Linked DNA regions of Macaca fascicularis. The protein of the gene in region 1 binds, or shares a complex with, the protein of each later gene. Links are inferred from orthologs where the notes say so. Each region holds a gene or a part of one and is shown in the gene's direction. Other genes may lie near its edges.

What was found.
Region 2: the proteins of KCND2 (region 1) and KCNIP1 are in contact, whole or in part, in a cryo-EM structure (PDB 7E8E), measured with the Homo sapiens proteins. The link is inferred for Macaca fascicularis from reciprocal best matches to the Homo sapiens genes KCND2 and KCNIP1. Residues at the interface, in NP_036413.1 of Homo sapiens: Ala2, Val5, Ala7, Trp8, Pro10, Phe11, Ala12, Arg13, Ala14, Ala15, Ala16, Ile17, Gly18, Trp19, Met20, Pro21, Val22, Ala23, Ser24, Gly25, Met27, Ala29, Pro30, Gln33, Arg35, Lys36, Arg37, Thr38, Gln39, Asp40; in NP_001030009.1 of Homo sapiens: Thr60, Arg62, Glu63, Val66, Leu67, Arg69, Gly70, Phe71, Asn73, Glu74, Phe85, Ile88, Tyr89, Gln91, Phe92, Tyr101, Leu105, Phe109, Phe122, Leu126, Leu129, Leu130, Lys137, Thr141, Leu144, Tyr145, Val162, Ile165, His185, Phe189.
Region 3: the proteins of KCND2 (region 1) and KCNIP2 are in contact, whole or in part, in a cryo-EM structure (PDB 7UKH), measured with the Homo sapiens proteins. The link is inferred for Macaca fascicularis from reciprocal best matches to the Homo sapiens genes KCND2 and KCNIP2. Residues at the interface, in NP_036413.1 of Homo sapiens: Val5, Ala7, Trp8, Leu9, Pro10, Phe11, Ala12, Arg13, Ala14, Ala15, Ile17, Gly18, Trp19, Met20, Pro21, Val22, Ala23, Ser24, Gly25, Pro26, Met27, Pro28, Ala29, Pro30, Trp55, Asp57, Arg61, Arg100; in NP_775283.1 of Homo sapiens: Arg112, Gly113, Phe114, Asn116, Glu117, Cys118, Val123, Phe128, Ile131, Tyr132, Gln134, Phe135, Phe136, Tyr144, Leu148, Phe152, Phe165, Leu169, Ile172, Leu173, Arg180, Trp183, Ala184, Leu187, Tyr188, Met201, Met205, Ile208, Met211, His228.

What each region holds. Positions count from the first base shown.
Region 1 is NC_088377.1:161,880,932-161,888,560, forward strand, and holds the start of KCND2 (A-type voltage-gated potassium channel KCND2), read left to right. Parts: upstream 1-2,805; 5' UTR 2,806-3,452; coding exon 3,453-4,567; intron 4,568-7,629. UniProt on the Homo sapiens protein: Voltage-gated potassium channel that mediates transmembrane potassium transport in excitable membranes, primarily in the brain. Mediates the major part of the dendritic A-type current I(SA) in brain neurons.
Region 2 is NC_088380.1:177,523,630-177,530,464, forward strand, and holds part of KCNIP1 (A-type potassium channel modulatory protein KCNIP1), read left to right. Parts: intron 1-136; coding exon 137-261; intron 262-1,709; coding exon 1,710-1,779; intron 1,780-3,217; coding exon 3,218-3,288; intron 3,289-4,074; coding exon 4,075-4,182; intron 4,183-6,835. UniProt on the Homo sapiens protein: Regulatory subunit of Kv4/D (Shal)-type voltage-gated rapidly inactivating A-type potassium channels. Regulates channel density, inactivation kinetics and rate of recovery from inactivation in a calcium-dependent and isoform-specific manner.
Region 3 is NC_088383.1:110,826,661-110,834,042, reverse strand, and holds the start of KCNIP2 (A-type potassium channel modulatory protein KCNIP2), read left to right. Parts: upstream 1-3,320; 5' UTR 3,321-3,544; coding exon 3,545-3,617; intron 3,618-4,544; exon of another isoform or gene 4,545-4,731; coding exon of another isoform or gene 4,732-4,795; intron 4,796-7,273; exon of another isoform or gene 7,274-7,304; coding exon of another isoform or gene 7,305-7,382. UniProt on the Homo sapiens protein: Regulatory subunit of Kv4/D (Shal)-type voltage-gated rapidly inactivating A-type potassium channels. Modulates channel density, inactivation kinetics and rate of recovery from inactivation in a calcium-dependent and isoform-specific manner.

The sequences.
Region 1 (7,629 bases):
TTCTTAAGCAAGATTTTGAATTTAGATGTGTTTAAGTTCTCAGCCCACATTCTTTCCACTATATCAAGAAGCTTGTTGAAGATGGGGGAGGGCAGATCCCAATACCTTCTTAAAAACTGTACATATTATGTTCTTGCTTCTTTGGGGCTTTTGTGAAGTTAAACTCCTACTTTTCCATTTGTAAGTATTCAGTTTCCTACACAGTTTTAAAGGCTCTATTTAGGTTCCTCGCCTCATCTTTACAGGAAAGCATGCCATTATTGGCATTGATTAAATATTCATGGCTCTCCACCCTCTGGATTCCATACCCAGCACCTGTCATAGTGCCACCTTACTGTCTGGACTAAGGAGGAGTTGGTTTTCTTATATTAATTGGTAGTAAGCTCCTCATTTCCATTTTCCAGGTAACATGCTTGTGTGTTTGTTTTCAGGTATGCAGGCTACATAGATTGGTTAACAAGCATCTTTCACTTAAACAAATAGATAAAGAGCAGGTGTCTTCAGTTCCATGTCCTCAAACTTACACGGTGCATTAGCTCTGACTTCATTACTAAACACAGTATTCCTTAAATCTCTATTTTGTAAACAAACAAAAAATTACCTTTGTATAGCTACAGAAAGTCCTGTACATGATAAGGATATTTTAAATTCTCTGGTTATTTTCTATACTCATTTTTTAGTTTATGTATTTTCTTTGACATATCCCATTTCAAATTTTCAAGGTTGACACTCATGCCTATGATCTCTAGGGCTTAAAAGTCAATTTCTGTACAGTACAACACACAGTCCACTTATTTTACAAACCAAGGGCAGTCAAACCAAGCCATGAAAAACAATTTTTAGGTAGAAATTAGGCTACTATTCTTAATCAATATAGATGAAGCCTCACTATTGCCAAAGATCTTAATTACTATGATGATGATGATTCAGTAATCTAGATTTAATTTTCAAAGGAATTTCAAAAGGAAACTCTCCACTTCTCATCCCACAACTATCCAAATGCAGACTCAAGCCTAAGTATTAAATCTCATATAAACAATAAAAAGGTGGGTGGCAGCGAAGGGGTTTGAGGCTGTTTATGTGATGTGAGTCTCTGTTGGATCAGTTAATTTTGATACTTCACCTTCCTAAAGCATCCAACCCTTAGGAGCAGATTTAACTTCTCGCCATCCACGCCATCTAGTGGCTGTATATGTTATGTTTGGTTTTAAGGATGATTCGTAATGACTCGGGGGCGGGGTACGCGAAAAACAAAACGGTTGGTCGCGACAATTTTCCTGTGTCTCTCCACCTCAGTTACCCCTCATGCGAACATCTTTAACTACTTTAACTATTTTAAATATGCGCAGTGATGCGCAGAGAGGATGAAGGGGACGCAAACTTTCAGAGACGCACGCCCCTTGACGATGACATTTAGAAAAGGGCTCCACATCCCTCTGTTATTCTAAAGGACGGGAAAAGGAGTTGTGTCAAGACCTCCACCGAGGAGACTCTCTGATTTTTTGGCAAGTTGGACAGATGGCATATTAATCCCTGCAACGTTTAACAATCTGGTTTGGAAAATAAATAAAAAGAGAAAGAGGAAATGCACTTAAAAATTCCGCGTCGGGGCTTTGCAGGTCTTGCCTTCCAGTCGCCCCCAGAAGACAACCAATTCCTGCGCATTCCGCTCCGCTCACTCTCCTTCCCAGCTTCTCTCGCTCTCTTTCCCCCCATTTTCCCACGCTCGCCTTGAACCGGGACTCGGGAGGCAGAAGCAAGGCACAGGTCCCCTTTCTCCTCTCCTCCACCAAACCACCGCAGCCCAGCGCGTGAAGCTTCCCTTTGTTCATCCGAGGCTCGCTTTCCTCCCCGGCAGATCCACCTGGATGCTCTCCCTCGGTGACATTTTGCGCCGGGGCTGGTGGGTGGCTGGGGTGGAGCGAGAGGAGTCCGAGGGGGCGGGGGCGGAGAAAGGTCAAGCCGAGGGAAAGGCAGGAGACGCCTTTCCTAACCTGCGTGGCGGGGCGTGCGCGCGGTTATTTATTTATTTTCTCCTTATTTATTGATTGCACTAGCAGAGCAGCGCGGGGAGCCCGGGGAGATGCAGGACCACCCACTGGCGGGGAAGCAGCTAGCAGCCCTCCCGCGCCCCCGCGCTGCCGAGCGCCTTCTGCCTCCGCGCTCGGACCAGAGCCCGTGCCGGCCCCGGCCCCGGCCCCGCCGCTCCGCCGCCGCCGCCCGCCCGGCCGCCCCGCAGCCCCGCCGCCCCGCCGCCCCGCACCGCGCTGGCCAGGTCCCCGCGACAGTGGCCCCGCAGTAAGTTGGCAGGAGCGAGTCCCCTCCGTTCTCGCCTCCCCCGCACCTTTTGAACTTGTTGCTGCTGCTCTGCTCGCCTGCGCCTGGCTTTTGGAAGGTGAAAAGGAGGAGGGAGGAACGGAGGGATGGGGGAAGGGGGAGAAGAGCTCGCTTGAGCTTTATTTATGCTCCCTCGGCGCATCGGATTCGGCTGCTCGCGAGCTGCTTTCTCTCCTCTTCCCTTTCCGGGTGCACGGCGAGGAGAAAGTCTCTATGCAACTCAGCCCCGGCGCGCGCTTGGCCAGGTATGTACTGCGGGCGCGGCGCGTTCTGCGCGGAAGCAGATGCTGCTGCCGCCACGGCGGCGGCGGCTGCCAGCTCCTGGGCTCTGTAACTGTCACACTGCACCTGAGCTGAACTTGAAAAGAGAGTGAAGGGGCGACTGGGCGAACGCTTTTGGCAGACACAGAGGGTGTTTGTAGACGTGGGGGAGGAGGATCTGTATTAACGCCCCCCACCGTACCCACTGCACATCACCTCCATCTCTGCAAATACAGCCCGAGGAGTAGAGGCAGCAGCAGCTGGACCCCCAAAGAGAGACGTGGGGCAGCGGCTGTGACCGTATCTCCTGAGCTACAACAACAGGTCGCCTTGTTGAGACTCCTTTGGCGGGAAGGGCTACTTGGAAAGGAAGGTTTGAAAGAGTGAGAAGGGTAGGTGGAAGGATTCCCTAATTCGTCGAAATAATTCTATTGGGTGACTCTCGTTCGTCTTCTCTATCCTACACTCCACATACTGACCCCATATTATCCAGACTGTGCCAGGGGAGAAATCAAAGACACCTGTTTGAAGAAACGACTGCACCTGTGTGCTTATTTGTGCCAGAGGGTGGCCTGGCCCACCTGCTGGAAGCGGTTTGGCTAGGTTCTGTTGGGGGCGATTGTTAAGACGTTGTATTTTGTTGTCATTACTCCAAACACCTGTCTTGGAGGGAAACTTGCCCTTCTGAGAACTGTGACTTTACCAGAAGCCCTATCTCGGAATAAGAGTGACACCTCTGGACCACGTTTCTCACTAGTACTTTGCTTGACTGGAGGAAGTGGGTGAGTTGTGGCTGCTTCGGTTGACCCATTGTAGACGCCTCGTCACCCTTCTTCCTTCCACTTCAAGGAGCCATGGCGGCGGGGGTAGCAGCGTGGCTGCCTTTTGCAAGGGCAGCGGCCATCGGGTGGATGCCTGTGGCCTCGGGGCCTATGCCGGCTCCCCCGAGGCAGGAGAGGAAAAGGACCCAAGATGCTCTCATTGTGCTGAATGTGAGTGGAACCCGCTTCCAGACGTGGCAGGACACCCTGGAACGTTACCCAGACACTCTACTGGGCAGTTCTGAGAGGGACTTTTTCTACCACCCAGAGACTCAGCAGTATTTCTTTGACCGTGACCCAGACATCTTCCGCCACATCCTGAATTTCTATCGCACTGGGAAGCTCCACTATCCTCGCCACGAGTGCATCTCTGCTTACGATGAAGAACTGGCCTTCTTTGGCCTCATCCCGGAAATCATCGGCGACTGCTGTTACGAGGAGTACAAGGATCGCAGGCGGGAGAACGCCGAGCGCCTACAGGACGACGCGGATACCGACACCACTGGAGAGAGCGCCTTGCCCACCATGACTGCAAGGCAGAGGGTCTGGCGGGCCTTCGAGAACCCCCACACCAGCACGATGGCCCTGGTGTTCTACTATGTCACGGGGTTTTTCATTGCCGTCTCTGTCATCGCGAATGTGGTGGAAACAGTGCCCTGCGGATCAAGCCCAGGTCACATTAAAGAACTGCCCTGTGGAGAGCGGTATGCGGTGGCCTTCTTCTGCTTGGACACGGCCTGCGTCATGATCTTCACAGTTGAGTATTTGCTTCGCCTGGCTGCAGCGCCTAGTCGTTACCGTTTTGTGCGTAGTGTCATGAGTATCATCGACGTGGTGGCCATCCTGCCTTATTACATTGGGCTGGTGATGACAGACAATGAGGACGTGAGCGGAGCCTTTGTCACGCTCCGAGTCTTCCGGGTGTTCAGGATCTTTAAGTTTTCCCGCCACTCTCAAGGCCTGCGCATCCTGGGGTACACACTGAAGAGTTGTGCCTCAGAATTGGGCTTCTTGCTTTTCTCGCTCACCATGGCTATCATCATCTTCGCTACAGTTATGTTCTATGCAGAGAAGGGGTCTTCGGCCAGCAAGTTTACCAGCATCCCTGCAGCATTCTGGTATACCATCGTCACCATGACAACACTAGGGTAGGTGCCATAATGAGAAATGGGATGGAGGTTGGGTATGGGTGAGGCGATTGTGGACCCATTAAGATTACATGATAATTCCGGGGAAATCATTTGGTTTCTTTCCTGAGTTTAGGAAAGCATTATCTAAATGGTTTGGCAAAACTCTTTTGATCTGTGAAATGGGTATAATACACAGGTTGAAGTGTTAAGGCATTGCTGGCAAATGTTGAGCATTGATGCCTGAAAGTGGTAAAGATACAAAGAAATTTTAGAATTCCTGAATATATGAAATAGTAACAATATTTATATTAATATATAAAAATATGACAATGAAAAACAAAATCTATGCACTAATAAAGACACAAATATATACAATGTATATTGAAATTTCTAGAAAATGGTTCAATGCATTTAAATGAAAAGTTTCCAGGTATACTTGAACTATTATTTTCATATGAATAGATACTTATGGTGTGCATTTTTCCTCTAAGAACCATAATTCTTATTTTACATCGTAAAACATAGATTGTAGATGTAATTATCAAAGTATTTTATAATATATATGCACATATTCATATGTATGCACTTTAATTATGGTTGATAGGTTATTCAGTGTTTTAGAATATCAGAGCTGAAACTGATCAACTCTACAATATGCAGTGGAATTAAATTTGCAACATATTTCAAACTCTAGGTTCATAGTTTCAAAAAAAGAAGCAAAAGACTGTCATCCACACATTTTTTTTTTTAGAATCTACAGATCCCATCAGGCAATGGGCCCACACCCATTAAATACACATAGAAGATAGAGCAGTATCTGGTAAGATGGATGGTCACCAAGGCTGGCTGTATTATAAAATTTGGGGTCCTAATTTCCTTTTAGAATTTTTTTGTGCATTCTTTTTGGGGGGTATAATGAAGTTCTGTAACCAAAGGGACACATTTCTGAATTCACGTTTTTAATAGACTTTTAGGGCTAGAATTAAGTTTTTTTAGGTAGTAGAAAAAAGGAAAGGAGGCAAATGATTAAGAATGTTAGTCAAACTGCAGAAAAGTGGCAACATTTTAAGTATTAGAGAATCTAATAAAATAAAATGGTTAGATCCTTTTACTTTTATGAGTTCTTAGATAAGCTAGGGAGTGATGTTAGTGCCTTTTCTTCAGCTTTATGCTACTATTCTTGCATAGGTAATCAGTTCAGTGAGGATTTGGTAATGGCTGTAAGAAAAAAAGTTATTCCCAAGGCTACTCTTTAAGCTTTGTGTTTCTGGATAATTTAATTGGCTTCTTTAAATGACATTGTGGTTAAAGTCGACTTAATTTTATTAGACATATTGTGTTGTACAGAATTTCTCATGTTATATGGCCAACTAATGGAATATTTTATATATGAAGAATTTTAGGCTAGGTTAAACAATAAATTGTGGTAAAGAAAAATACAATAATTTATGATTTTTATTTAGTCTCGTATTTTTTTTAAAGACCTACTGGTACATTTAAAAAAATGAATTAGTGAAAATCCATGTTCTACTTCTTGTATTGCCTTTTATTCTTGTTTGTAAATTTGTGACAGTTTATAAGGATAAGGATGATGCAGAATGCCTTCACAGTGTAGGTGCTTATTCTTTATCAAAGAGGTTTGTTTTTGTTGTCTTGTCATTTTCTAGCAGGATATCCTTATTAGGCACAAATGGGTAGTACAAATCACTATCATGACATCAAATTAGAAGCACAACTGAATAAAAAAGAAGATTTGGTTTTAATAGGAAGGGAAAACTATTAAAATGAAATACACTTTAAACATTTCTTATATAGGGCTGTGTGTCTTGAGGTATCAGAGAGTCATTTTAATGCTATATAGTGTCTATATGATTGAATATAGGTATAAAAAGAATGTTGATGAGAATTGTAATTTCGTGTAGCTAATAGTTCTGTAATAGACTTGAGAAGTTAGCATTGTTTTAAAACTTGTTTCTGGGAATGACTTTCCAATTTTTATTTTATTTTGAAGCTTATTTTTGTTTTTAGGAAAAAAAAATGAGGCAACATTAAACATTAGTGACAATTTTTTATTATGTAAATAAAATACTTAAAAGCACCTATTTTTGAAAATATTTAAGAAATTGAATTATAATGGCAGAGTAAAATCTATGCAGTGGATTTAGTTCACATGTTCCATAGGTAAGTAAGTGGATTAGAAGCATTGAATACACACACTTTCTTAGAACTTGGAAGCTAAGTGGAAGTTACTTTAAAGACTTAGCTTCACTGAAGTTGAACATTTTAATTTTCAGGAAATTAAGCTAATTAATGATCCTGGTTGAATAGAGCAGTCATACTTTTAAGATGTGGAGACGTCGATGTAATCAAAATGAGAACATATATGGACACTTGACAAATCATATGCTTTATAACAGAATTTCATAGGAAAATGTTTTTAATTTCTCATCAAAATATATTTATTATGTATTGTACCCTGAAGAAATAGATTCTTATAAGCACTGCCATTTTGGTGCCAACTTTGTGACTCAACAGTTATTTAATAATTCAAAATATTCAATAAAAGCCATTGCCTAACTTTATTGTTTAGGCTGTAGTTCTATACTTAGAGGATGAAGTGTAAGGTGTAAACTTTCTGGGAAATCATAGTTGGAGCCAATATCCAACTATGTCTGAATGATTATCAAGAGCTTTCCATTGTGGCTATTAATTTTAATGGAGCTAAATGTTCATCAATTAATGATAATAAAAGTGAAAATATGATTATAAACAGAGGTTATCGAAAGTTCCAGCTCATATGAACATTATCTACATGAGAATAAATAATCAAGAGCTTTGTCATTCAGGACTGGCAGAATCATCTGTGGCTTCTAGACTATTTTAGACAATATTCAGTTGGTTTTATGATCTGAAGAACTGAGTGTATCTGTCTTAGAACCAAGGTGTATTTGTATAACCATTTTTTTTGCTCCTTGAAATATCAAGTATATCGTTAGACTGTAAGTTGACTATGCTTACTATATAAGTCATTAGTTAATCTATCAGAAAAATGAACGCTTTAAAAATAGTTTTCAGGCTAC
Region 2 (6,835 bases), on another chromosome or scaffold:
GGCCATTGGCAGTGCAACCCCAGCCCACAGCCCTAGATCCCAGGTCGTGACACCACTCTTTTGACAGCCCAGATTGTTACCTAACAAGAGTGACCCCCAAGTTCAACCATTCCAATGCCATCTCCTCTGGTTCCAGATAAGATTGAAGATGAGCTGGAGATGACCATGGTTTGCCATCGGCCCGAGGGACTGGAGCAGCTTGAGGCCCAGACCAACTTCACCAAGAGGGAGCTGCAGGTCCTTTATCGAGGCTTCAAAAACGTAAGACCCGCGCAGGCTCTGAAGGCCTCGGGGGGTTTCCCACGTAAGGCTAAGCTCTTCCCAATGCCAAGGGAGCTCATAAGGCAGTTTCCCATATGTGAGGCTACACAAGGAAGGCCAGCTCTATAAAGGGGACGTGAGAGGGAGATCACCTGGTTGGAAAGGAAGGCTCCAGGCGAGGATGGAGCAAAGTCAGGAGACAGTAAACGGCCAACTGCCCAGAAACTTCACAGGGTGGCACATCCTCAGGGAATTCACCCCAGCCCAGGGTCAAGCCTTAACCCTTAACATAGTCATACCTTCCAACTTGGTGGTGCCCCCACAATAATGGGATTTAGGCCTGCTGACTCATGCTAACCAGGCTCACCGAGACTGATGTGTAAGCCGAATGTCAGTGTATTAATTTACCACAGGAAATGGAACTGACAGTGGGACCAGACACTCCTCTCCCTTCGCTGGGACCCGCTCTCCTTAGAAGCCACGTGGAAGCCAGGTTACAATCAAAAGTGGAGTCAGAGGATGGGAGTGCCTTGTTTAGCTGTTACTTTAAATACATTAATATGTTCCTGCATTCTCAGGTCAGCTTGAGAGCTCTCAGATGCAATCCTGGATATTAATCTATTTTTTTTTTAAGTTTAACTCTCAGAGCACAATCTTATTCCCAAATCCTGGGGTGGTGTGGAGTGGGGTGGGCTAGAGCAATGTGCACCTGGTCACCCTCCCTCCAGGTGCAGTCTATAGGTAGAACTGAGCTGGGTCAATTCCAAACTGACCGCAGCCTCATTGTTCTCCAAAGTGCTGACCCACAGGGATTCTAGCCCCTCCTGGGAGTCATCTGACAGGTGCTGGGATGCCTCTTCCTTCCACACTAGCCTTGATTGCACATACCAAGTGCCTGGTTTCCTACCATCAGGGCTTCTTTCCTTCTGATGGCAGCATTAGCAGTGGGCAGCCGAGTTGGAGCAGGATCCTGTGGGAAAGTTTCCCAGGCAGGCACTGGGCTCAGAGGGAACAGCATCCAGAAAAGAGAAGAAATCTACACTGCTTGGCATCTACCATGGACTCAGTACCACCTAACATAGGTTCATAAGATACCCTTGGGGAAAGTATTGTTAGCCCCATTTTACAGGTAAGGATATTGAGAATCAGAGACTGGCATGGCCAAAGTCACAAAGCTTAGTATTTATTGGCTAAGCCAGGATTTAAACCCAGGTTTTTCTGCTCTTAAGGCCCCAAATCTCTCCACCTCACTGTGCCCATTCTCTGACAATGTCTCATCATTTGGCAAAGCAGCTCCAGTCCTGAGATGGAGTTACTTCGGAGAAGTGGAAATGCACAGGTCCCTGCCCCTGGGGATCATGAGGAACCCCAGACACCAAGGCTGGGCCCAGTCTTCTCCTAGTGCTGGCCCTCAGACACCTCCTGCTGACTCTCTCCCCTTCCCACAGGAGTGCCCCAGTGGTGTGGTTAACGAAGACACATTCAAGCAGATCTATGCTCAGTTTTTCCCTCACGGAGGTGAGTCTGACCTTGAAATCTATCTTGCCCAGCACCCTCTCTGGTGAATAGCCTTCCCCTCCTCCAAGTCCACTCTTCCTTGCTATCTGCTTCCTTCTCGAGGAAGGGGCAAACTCAGAGCAGGACACCTCCCTCGTCGTGAGAGGTGGGAGTCTCCAAAGCTTTAGCAGGAAAGAACTCTGAAAACGAACCCACCCTGGAAGGGGAAGAAGGGCTGATAATGCAACATCACAAAGTCTCAGAACAGCTCTAGAAAGCAGGTATTATAATCCCAGATGGGGTAACTGAGTTTCGGGGAAGATAAGCAATGTACTCAAGGTTGCACAGCGAGTGAGTAGCAGACCAGGATTAGATTCCATAAGGGTCTGAAACAAGTTTTGCCATTCTGGTGCCACCATTGTGCAGGGCACTTTTGATTCTTTTCCTTAAAATAGCTGAGACAAGCTGGAATTTTGTAAAAGAACTCCAGTAAATACCCAAGACTATAAAAATAAACTAAATGAAAAAGAGACAGGAAACATAAAGTTGTGCTTATTAAGCCAGGTTACAAGTGTGCCAGGCCCACAGCAGCTGCTCTGTCGCCCTGCCTGACTCGGGAACCAGCTCTGTCCCCATGGGCCTGGGACCACATCAGTGGCTCCTCCTGTGGCCTCCATGTGTCACATGCCACCTTGCATCCTGTCTCCAAGAGCTGTCTCCTGCAAGACACCTTCCCCGGATCCTGACAAAATGCAGATCCAAGCATTCCAAACACTTCTTGGGCCCTGTTCCTCAAGGGCCTTTTTGGCAGCAGACAGACGCCTTCCTTGGTGTGCGGGGCCCCTACCCAGATCAGGTGCAGGAGGCAGTTTTGTCCCATGCAGGCCCCAGAATTGCAGTTTTCTGAGTTCCACTAAGCCACTGTTTATTGAGTTCTTACTGTATGCCAGGCATAGCTCTAGTTTAAAATACTTTTTCGCAAATTTCAAGAGATAGGTCTTGCTCCATCCCATTGTACAGAGGTAGGAAAGGGAAACTCAGAGAGGTCATGTTTGATGCCCACAGTCACACAGCTTATGTAGTACAGCGGCATCCAAGTTCAGATTTCTCTACTCTGGAGTGCGTGCTCATCCCAGGCATTGCATGGCCGCTCAGAAGAACATTGTCATGCAGTCACTGTGTCATTCATACACTGACGATTCCGTGCATAGATAGGCAGGAGAAAGGTTTTCTCACGATGCTAGAGGGAGGGATAAGGGCTCATCTCACCTTTTGCTAGATCTAACTTCCCACCCAAACCCAAAGAGTTGAGTCAATGGGCCCCACTCCATAATTTTCTTCTTTCCATCACCCTAGCATCGCTCTCCTCTCTTTCTTGTCGAAGCCCTGCCTTGTTTGGAAGGTTCTCCCTGTGTGGAATTCCTGCCCCCATCACCTGCCCTCCTTTTCTGCCTTGTAGATGCCAGCACGTATGCCCATTACCTCTTCAATGCCTTCGACACCACTCAGACAGGCTCCGTGAAGTTCGAGGTATGCTCATCTGGGGTCCACTCTAGGGGTCCTCTGGTTCTGCATCACCTCCCCCTCTAAATCTCAAGGCATTGGGGGAAGGGCTGGACCATCAAAAGCTCTCAGTCAGACCAAAGACACATTTATCCATTCGTAAGCATTTCCTAAAGATGGGGAGAAGCAGTAGCAACTTTGCCTGGCCTGCAGGAACTCAGGGACTCGGGGGACTAATAACAACAGTGTGTGAGCTCCCGGGCACACTGCTTCCCAGTGGCAGCCCCTGTACTTAGGGCTTTGGATGTACTAACTCATTTACTCTAATCCCCACGATAACCCTATAGGGTAGCATTTTATTATTTATTACCCTTTTACAGAAGAGGAGAGTAAGGCAAAGAGAGAGAGAGTAGTTTTCCCAAGGTCAAAAAGCACACAAATAATAAAGGATGGATTTGAATGCAGGCAGAATGACCCTCAATACAAACTGTTCCTACAGTCTGCGTCCTCAGCCACTAGGCCATATGGCCACTGGGATGATAGACTGACCACTGCAGCCATGGATAAGGCAATAACAGGGTTGGCTGCATTGATCTGTGTCTCTCAGAGCTCCATTCTTCCTCAAGGGGGCACCTGGCAAAAAAAATGGGGCAGGGTAGGGACCCGAAGGCAGGAGCTCTTCACTGAGCATAGCCACGTCCTCCAGGCAGACAAGAGGACATGGGAGGCACCACTCTGTGAGAGTATCACAATCTGACCCAAAGACACAGCTTCACCCTGCCTGATGTCACTCCTGCCTTTTCCCCTTCTCAGGACTTTGTAACCGCTCTGTCGATTTTACTGAGAGGAACTGTCCATGAGAAACTAAGGTGGACATTTAATTTGTATGACATCAATAAGGATGGATATATTAACAAAGAGGTAAGTGAGCCGGAGCCAGGGGTGTGAGAGGGTTCCAGTGAAGGTAACTAACCCAACAGAAAACAGTCCCAGGCTTGAGGATAGTGCTGTCTGAATGAGGCAGGCTCTGCTTTGGGGCTAACAGAGCTGGTCCCTGGCAAAATAAAGAAGGCCTCCCTCATTGCCCTACCCTGCCTGTTCCCAAGCGCCCAGAAAGGATTAAACCGATTCATTCTCCCTGGGTCACCTAGATTCAGTAGACATTACACAGTGGGTAAAACTGACTTGTTTCAGTGTAAAGAGTTACTCTTCCCTAGAGAACGTGCATTTGGGAAGGTTGGGAGCCACAAGTTAAAGCTAAAAGTTGAAATGGTGGAATTGTAGGTAGCACCTAGAATAGAAAAGAAAGGGTTTTAAGAGGAGCCTATAACTGGGTCATATTGGCCTTAACCTATTTTGCCTACTAATACAACCTCCAAGGGGGTAATGGAAGGTACAGCTGTCTTTAAAGAAATTATCACAAATAATTTCTGAATCTTCACTGCTTCGCACTTTTAGAACCTCAGAAGACGTCTGTAGCCAGTGAAATACCCTCAGTATCCACTGTACCATGGTCTCTCAGTGGAAGCTGGAATTTGGCATCGTGTAACACTCCACTTACTGAGCTCCTGTGTGCCAGGTGCACTGCCTGGAGTGTAGATATCAGCGCAATTATCTTCACCTCAACGCTGCAAGGTTCTCTCTGTAAGCTCAGAGAGTTTATCCAACTTTCATTCCTCATTCATTTAGTCATGTTTTTAATTAACACACATTTGAAGACTTATTAGGTGTTCTAGGTGCTGGAAGTAAAGAGGTGACCAATCAGACTAGGCCTCACACTGGAGCAGTATAGAGAGATGGACAATAAACAGGCCAAAAAGGAATCAACAGGTAGAAGATATTTTGGCAGGGAAGGTTAGCAAAGTCCTCTCTAAGGAGGTGTTGTCATACTGGAACCAGTTATACAAAAAGCCAGGAAAAGTGTTCCAGGCAGAAGGAAGAGCCACTAGAGAGGCTTTGAGGCAAGATAAAGCTTCATGTGTTTCAAAAACAGAAAGGTTGCAGCCGGTTGCAGATGAAGTTATGAAGCCGAAGATTGGTGCAGGATGAGGCTGACAGGTCAACAGAGTCAGATGGTGGAGGGCTAGGGTAAGGGGCCCATCCATATTCCCCTGGGAAGCTGTTAGATGAACATGTTTTTTGAAAGACACAAAAGGCAAAAACAGACTTAAAGAGAATCAGAAAATATGACTAGCTCTGTATCATTTAAAGAAATTATATTATAATTTTTTATATATAAATTTTTATATTATAAAAAATTCACAGTTAAAAACCATTCCCAAATAAAATTATAGGCTCAGATGGTGGACTGGTGAATTCTAATACCAATCCTACAAAAAATTTTGGAAAATAGAGGAGGATGGAACATTTTGCAACTTGTTTTATAAGTCCAATAGTACCCTGATACCCAAACCAAAGAAAAAAAGGTCTTATGAGAGGAAACAACTACAAAACAGTCCCCCTCATGAGCACAGACACAAAAAGCTTTCACCAACTATTAGCAAATTGAATCCAGCAATATATAAAAGGATGATACACTACAACTATGTGAGTTTTATTCTAGGAATGCAAGGTTAGTTTAACATTCAAAAATCAATCAATATAATTCACTATATTTAAAGCAATCAAAGGGATATAGACCGGAAAGGAAGAATTAACACTGTCTTTATTTGTACATGATACAATTGTATTAATAGAAAACCTTAAGAGTCTAGAAATAAATTGCGAAAAATAATAAGTGAATTTAACAAAGTGAAGACATGCGTTCTATTTACAAAAATCATTTATAATTCTACATCCAACAAGCAACCACAAAATTAAATTAAGAAAAAATAGCATCAAAAAGCACAAAATACTTTGAGAAAAATTCAACAAAATAGGTGCAAGACTCATACACTGAAAACTATAAAATATTGCTGAAATAACTAACTAAATAAACACAGAGATATATCATGCTCATGGGTTGGAAGGCCCAATATAGTTAAGATGTGGATTCTCCAAATTTGATTTATAGATTTAGTGCGATCTCAATCAAAATCCCAGCAGGTATTTTGTAGCAGTTGATTTGGGAATGCAAAAAATTTAAAATAACCAAAACAACCAAAAAAAGAACAAAGTTAAAGGACTAAACCTACCTTACTTCAAGACTTCATGAAAAGGTGCAGTAGTCAAGACGGCGGGGAATCGGCATAAGGATACACATATAGATCAATGGATCAAAATAGAGAGTCAAAAAAACTTAAAGTAGAGCTACCATATGATCCAACAATCCCACTGCTGGGTATATACCCCAAATAAAGGAAATCAGTATATCAAAGAGATATCTGCACTCCCATGTTTGTTGTACATCTGTTTATAATAGCCAAGATTTGGAAGCAACCTAAGTGTCCATCAACAGATGAACGGATAAAGAAAATGTGGTACTTATACACAATGGAGTACTATTCAGCTGTAAAATAGAATGAGATTTAATCATCTACAACATGGATGGAACTGGAGGTGATTATGTTAAGTGAAGTAAACCAGGCACAGAAAGACAAACATCCCATGTTCTCTCTTATTTGTGGGATCTAAA
Region 3 (7,382 bases), on another chromosome or scaffold:
GTCCCCTGCCCCCACTGGCACTTTGTCCAGTCATCAGGACCCTTGGCTCAGATTTAGGGTAGGGTAGGAATGGGGTACCTTTTTCCTTTTTCCTTTTTTTTTTTTTTTTTTGAGATGGAGTCTCCCTCTGTCACCCAGGCTGGAGTGCAGTGGCGTGATCTCAGCCTTACTGCAGCCTTCGCTTCCTGGGTTCAAGCGATTCTCCTGCCTCAGCCTCCTGAGTAGCTGGGACTACAGGAGTGTGCGCCATGCCCAGCTAATTTTTTGTATTTTTAGTAGAGATGGGGTTTCACCATGTTACCCAGGATGGTCTCAATATCCTGAGTTCATGATCCACCCGCCTCAGCCTCCCAAAGTGCTGGGAGCCTAGATGTTCTTCTCACATCCTCTAGAGTTTGTTCCTGTCAGCCACCGTGACATGGCCACCGTGCCCGGCCAGTTTTCCTATTTTCTGAATTCAGAGTTGACTCCTCTGGGAAACTGGAGATGAGAATCTGCCCAGTGCTCTGCTGTCTGGCCACCGCCTTTTGAATTTTAGTGTTGGCACTAGGAGTACCATTATCTTTCCCCTCCTTCTGACCCATTTGATCCATCAGCACAATAGGGTCACAACCTTAACTTTTCGTTTCTAATCTCATTTACTCTGTCTTTAGGGTATGTATGAAATAAACATTGACAGGTTTTCTGGAGCCCTCAAGGTGCCTACTTTGCTGGTTCCCTTTCCAGCAGCTCCCCCGCCTCCCTAGCCCCCCCTCCTCTGGCAGCCTCTCCTGCCTCTGCTAAGCTCCCCTCCACGTGTTCCACCCCCTTACCCTGCTGTTGTTTACATCCAACCTGCCTGAGAATTTCCTCTGGGGAGGAATCTGTTCCTGTCGTGGTTTAGTGCCTGGGAGGGAGAGAACTTCCTGGGGGTAGGGTGCCCTCCATCTGAAACAGGCCAGGTGAGCATCATGCATAAGGCCTCTATTCTGTCCACTCAGATTCTGGGTGGGGCCACAGGCAAATCTGACTTTTGGGGAGTTGGCTTGTGCTTCCTCCCTTGGATAGCTTCCATGGAATCTCTATAGGCTTTCCCCACAGCTGCCTCTGAAATAGCTGCTGCTTCGAGATCCTCCCTTTTTAAAGCACTTTCTAAAGCCCTCAGGATGGCGGGAGCAAACAGCACCGGTATATTCTAGGAATAAGTGGAGGAATTCAGCAGTGAGAGCATGTCTGGGACCACCTGGGCTGCTATCCATTTAACCTAAAATCTCTTTGGGTTACTTGCCCTCCCTGGCAACCAGAGTTCTGGCTCTAACATTAAGCAGCTATGCGCTAGTTCCAGAGAATCCACTAACAGGCTGCCATGTGTAGATGTAGGTTCTTAAGAGATCACAGGCTGGGTCATCTGATCACTGAATGGATAGCTCAGCCTGGGGCATTTAGTATTTTCCCTGGTGATAAACCCCCAAAGCAGCTGGATCTGGAGCTGGTGGCAAGTTGAAATTATTAAAAATTGATTTGTGTGGGACTGTCTTTAGTGTTGCCTTTTTTTTTTTTTTTCTTAATCTCTGTTGCCCAGACTCATTCCTCAAACATAGAGGTAAGGTAATCTCCTAGGTGTTGCTCCCATCTGGCTAGGGGACCCCTACCCACCCTTGTGAACTCTCCTCCTTCCTCTGAGTCTCCTGGCCCTAGTAGAGGCCAGTTGGGTTCACAGAGCTGTAACCTCCCTTGCCCTCTGGGTAGAAGGAGGGATAAGGGAGTTAGTTCCCTTATCTCCAAACATAGTGGTATTGAGGAGGCAAGCCAACCCATTTGGCCACTTCTGGATTCCTGCCAGCCTTTCCTCCAAGTGAATAAGGATGAGTCAAGGGCATGGGGCACTAAGCAGAGGGCTCCTTGCCCTCCATTGTAAAGGCCCTTCTCTTTACCAGTTTATTCACATATACCTATTCCAAGAACTCCAAATGAGAGTGTCCGTTCTCTCCTGGAAAACAACCTCAACAGGAGCTGCCCAAGCACTTTCTATGCCCAGCTTCTATGCCAGGTCTGTGGAGGCTCCTCCACAGCCAAGGGAGATCCAATCGCAGGGCACTGCTCCTAAAGACAATCTTACCTTCAGCCACTTCTCCGCCTCTTAGGCTGGAACTCCCACCACAATTCCTGCTGGATTGATTAAATCAAGTGGTTAGAAATTAAAGCTAATTGAAGAAATTAAGTGTGCTTGAGTCACTTTAAAGTTTTTGGTCTTAACAGGTCACTCCTTCAGACCCACCAGACAAGGGCCGCTCATCCTCATAGCAAGGGGTTGGGGGGCTTTTGGGTGCGGAGCCCAGAAGCATCCTGAGGAAGGTCAGACCTGTGGAGCTCAAACATTCAGGATCCATTCCTGGGAGATGAGGGAGCCCAGCTTCTGTGCTAGCCCTGCCTTTGGAAAAGGAGCTAATCTTAAAGAAGGGGTTTCATAACAAGGGCATTTCTTTCCTACTGTGTATCTTGACTTGGATCCCCAAACCTGTCAGTCGCTCCCCAAATCTGCTGGAAAACAAGGAATCTAGGACAGGACAGGTGACAAAAGAGAAGGGGCAGAAAAGTTGCTGCAGGGGAGGAACAAAAGAGCAAGGATGTCTGAGAAACTGACATGGTTCACTAGTTTTCTTATCTTCCTAGTCGGTCTATTGGGGGTCATTAGATCAGTGAAGGAGGCACCCTGAGAGTGAATAGGTTCCAGAGACGGGGTTGTGGAGTGGGTGAGAGTTGGGGTCCTTCTGGAACTTGAGAGAAGACGAAATAGTAGTCCATTGGCTCACGATGAGCCTGCTAATATTAGAGGCTGGGTTGACTCTTCCTTTGCATCCCTATCCTGCTTTAAGCACGGTGGGGACCGTCTGGGACCACAAGAGACGCATACATGGGAGGAGGAACAACAGAGAAAATAGAGGCTGACATGGAGGCAAACGGAGCGGGGACTCAGAGATGATACCCCAGGCTCTGCCTCAGCCAGAACTGTGTTGACGAAGGGGGAAGGGAGAAGGGGTGCCTGAGAATTAGGGGCGGGGTTTCCTCTCAGTGTGGCTCTTCTGTCCCGCGCTCTTCTCCACCCTCCCCCCAACAAGCCCCGTGACTTTTGGTTTAGGGGCAGATTGCTGGGGAGCTAGTCTCCTTCCCCGCACTTTGCAGTTCACCCTTTCACCGGGTGCCTCCCCCGGGCTGCAAGGGTGGGGGCGGGGGTAGGGGGAGCCAATCCCGGCAGCGCCAAAGGGGGGAGGCGGCGGTGACAGCCGCGGGGAGGGGGCGGGAGGAGAGAGGCGGCTCGGCTCGGCTCCGCGCTCAGCTCCGCTCTGCCTCCGGCTCTGCGCTCACCTGCTGCCTAGTGTTCCCTCTCCTGCTCCAGGACCCCCGGGTAGACCTCAGACCCCGGGCCCTTTCTCAGACAGCCTCAACCCGAACTCCCCCAGCCCCGACAGTGCACTAGGCCGCCAGGGGGCGCCGTGTGAGCGCCCTATCCCGGCCACCCGGCGCCCCCTCCCACGGACCGGGCGGGAGCGGGGCGCCGGGGGCCATGCGGGGCCAGGGCCGCAAGGAGAGTTTGTCCGATTCCCGAGACCTGGACGGATCCTACGACCAGCTCACGGGTGAGTCAGTGACGTGGGGGTCGCGGGAGGGAGGGTGGCTTCCTCCACACCCTTCCGCCTCTCCGACCCCGACCTGGCCCGCACCCACACTCTGCCCCATTCCCAGGCACTCTTCTGGCAGGTCTGGGCGGCAGGACACTGGGGTTCAAAGCTTTGGGTCCCGCAGGGGTTGGGGAGGAACAGAAGAGGCAGGTGTGGAGAGGCAGCAGGTGTGGGCGTATGTGACACAGGGCTGGGAGGGTATCTGGAGTGGGAGGTGTTACGTGCGTGAGCGCCTGTCATTCTGTGTGTGTGTGTGTGTGTGTGTGTGTGTGTGTGTGTGTGTGCGCGCGCGCGCGCGCGCGCCTCCCACAGCTGGTTGCCATGTGCCCTGGGCTTGGTGACAGCTAGGGTGAGTGTGATTTTATGTGGCAGTGCAACTGTATGGTCTTGTCAGATGTTTGAGGTTGCATAGGACCCTGGCTGTACTGATGAAGTTGTTTTGACCATGTGTCTCTGTTATATGTGCAATGATGTGTTTTGAGTGTGTAATTCTGTATGAAGTGGTGTGTAACTACCAGAGTGTGTCAGGGCTCCACTTTAGGGTGGCTTGTCTCTTTGTAGACTTCATGACCATAAGCCCTCTGGGCAAGCATTTGTTAAAGTAGGTTGTGTTGTGTTTTGTGATTGTGAGATTAGTGTTTGGTGCTAGTTGTGTACTTTCATGTGGTGATGTCTGCAGCAGGGCTCTGTGAGTGTCCATGACGTGTCTCATCCTTGCTGCCTCTCCAGCTTCCTGGTACAGATAGGGGTCTTTAGTACACCCCACTGCTTCACCAAGTTTTCCGCAAATAGCCCAGGTGGACCCAAGGAGGGACTCTAGTGTTCAGCTGCCCAGCCTGGTTTCCAAGAGACCTTATGGCTCTAGCACCTAGCCCCTGTAGGAAGGCTTTAGTTAGTGCTGGGTCAGCCCTCTCTTCCCACACCAAATCATGTACTCAGATTATTCTTACAACTGAATCCTTCAACCCCCAACAAACCTTTCAGAACTTCACTCAAACCCCAGGAAAACACATCCTCTTGCTTCTCCTCCAGAGCCAGAGCTAGAAGCTCTAGGCTTGGGAAGTTCCATGTGATGTCCTGTATGTCCCCCCAAACCACTTGGCTGCCTGGGCATCCTCTCTTTCCCACATGGGGAGGTATGTGCGACCAGTACATCTGTGCATGTGCATGTTCCTGGGTTTGGTAGGAAGAGCCATGTGTTTGTGTAGGTGACTGTGTCACCCTTCGTACATTTCCATGTGTGTGTTTGTGTCTCTCATTGTGCAGCCTGCTCTAGAAAGCCAGCAGAGTGGGAGGAGGGAGGCTGTCTCCCTGAGGCCAAAACAAAGCTGGGGAGGTGGAGGGAAGCCATGATCCTTGTCCTTCCTGAGGGGAGTGAGATTGAGACCTGGGAAGGGGGAGGGGACTAGGATGAGGTGCCTTGAACATGTGCCTACCCCCACCCCCCATCACTGTTCCTGGGAAGGCCCTAGTCAGGATCAGGGGAGCCACTCAGGCTGGCCCCAGATGAGAGAGCATGCCAGATGCCCCTCAGAGCTGGATGGAATCCAAAGGGCCCGCTGTCCAGCACTTCCATGAATTCTGTTTCCACCTCCATCTTAGAATTCTTGAGAGTAGTAAGGGCCTAGGGGCCTTCAATACCATCACATTAAGTCAGTGTTTGCTTCCAGCTTTAAGGGGTTCTCCTGCTTAATGGAACCATCCCTTCCGCACTTAGCTATTTGAATGAGACTGGGTGGCGGAAGCGTTTGTATTTGGAGATGCCCTGCCTCAGGTCAGTCAGGAATAGAAGTGTACCAACTATGTGACTTTTGTTTTCTTGGCCTCACCTTTCTCATCTGTAAAAGAGAATGTTACTTCCTGGCTGCCTGCCTGCCTCCCAAGGGAAATGGAAAGGTCAAATGTTGACAAGCGTCAAGAATCGTGGTACGGGTCTACAGCAGCCTACCTGTAGATAGCTCCGCACAGGACTTGGAAAGTAGACATAGTACTACCAGGAGCTCTCATCTCGAAGGGCGGCTTATTTTATAGTGGGAGACAAATCAGGTTGGGACGCCAGTGTTAACGAAGACTCTGGGCGGGCAGCGGCGCCAAGCTCTGAGTGCTGCGAGATGCCTAAGCTGAAGCACGAAGGGGAGTCGTTGTCCGCGGTGCTGAAGCGCGCGCCAGGCCTCGCCTTCCCTTGCCTGCAGGTGGGATTCCTGGGATCAGATTTAGGGTAATCTCCAGCTCCCGTCATCCTGGCCCATCAGGCTTGCAGGGAGGCAGCTGGAAAGTTACACCTCAGGGCATCCTGGGTACCTTCGACCGTTTTGCTTCCCCACTCCCAACCCAAAGCTCAAAACGGAGCTGGGAGACTCTTTAGGAAAACAAAACAAAACACAGTCCGAGCCCCACCCGGACCCCTGTCTAATCCCTCGGGTCTTCCCAGCCCAGTGGGGCCGCTGGGCAGTGCGGTTCCGAGGGGAAAGGCTACGTTTAGCGGCGGCCCTGTCTGAGTGGAAGAGAGAAAGGCCAAGAGAAGATGCGGAGAGGGTTGGAGCCTGACTGGCCAGTCCTGAGCTCGGTCCCCGAACTGGGATCTCTCCTTGGAGTCCCTCCGGCCCTGAGTATTGTTCCCGGGGCGGGGGTGCCCCCGTGTGGCTGCGAGGAGCCATGCGCACGGAGCTGCTTCGCGATGGGGTGGTCGCCGTCAAGTTGGTAAGATTTGCCCAGAGTTAGGAGGTCATTCCCACCACTTAAAAGTATGCTTTTCAAACAAATATGCAGGATCCCAGTCGAAAGAGCGGGACTATATCTCTCCCGTAGGCTTTCCCAGGAATTTGAAGGCGTTAGAGGGTCCTGGAAGGGTTTACTTGGAGTGTAACCTGATAGGGATGAGTCCAGAGTCCGGGAAAGGGGCTCAGTGGGACCGAAGTGGGGGGGTGGGGGTGGGGGTGGGGCTCTTCTCGAAGCATTCGGCTGTAGCCAGCGTGTGGTGGTAAAGTCTGTAAACCTGCCGCACCGAGACAAACGCAAATAGAAACAGTTGTGAGAGCAAGGAATTTGGAGCCGGGAGACAGAAAACAGTGGGACACAACTCTGCCGCCTCTTCTTTGCCACCTCAATACACTGGCCTCCTCTCCTTCCTCCTGTCTTGTCTTCCATTGGTCCAGAAAGTGTGGAAGTGTGGGGAGTTGCCATGACAACTCTGTCCTCTTACTCCTTCGGCTCTTTATGCCAAAATGGTGGGGGCAGGGTGCAGGGTGCGGGGAGGAGTGCGACAGGCGGAGAAAGGGGGGCTGAAAGGAGGCAATAAAAGATACGGTTCATTCCCCATCCAGCTCTTTTCTCAAAACCCACATGTACTTGCCTGGCCTCCCCGCCAGAACCCAGAAAAATGCTCTCTGAGAAGGTTGAGTCCGCGCCACCCCTCCCTGCCCCCCTAGTCCAGGAACTTTGGGGGCGGATGCTTCACATGATGGGGCCAGGGTGAGCTCCTCTCAGGCGGCCAGGAGCACATGGGAAGTCTCCAGGGTTTCAATCCTATGCCTGCCGGGCCGGCCCTCCCGCGCCGCCCACGCAGGGCCCACTCGGGTGAGGGCGGAGACCGGACCGCCCCGGGCCCTGGGGGCGGAGCTTGGACGCAGAGCTCTCCGCCAAACCATGAACCGATGCCCTCGCAGGTGCCGGAGCCCGCTGGGGCAGGCAGCGCGATCTCTCTACCAGCTGGTGACTGGGTCG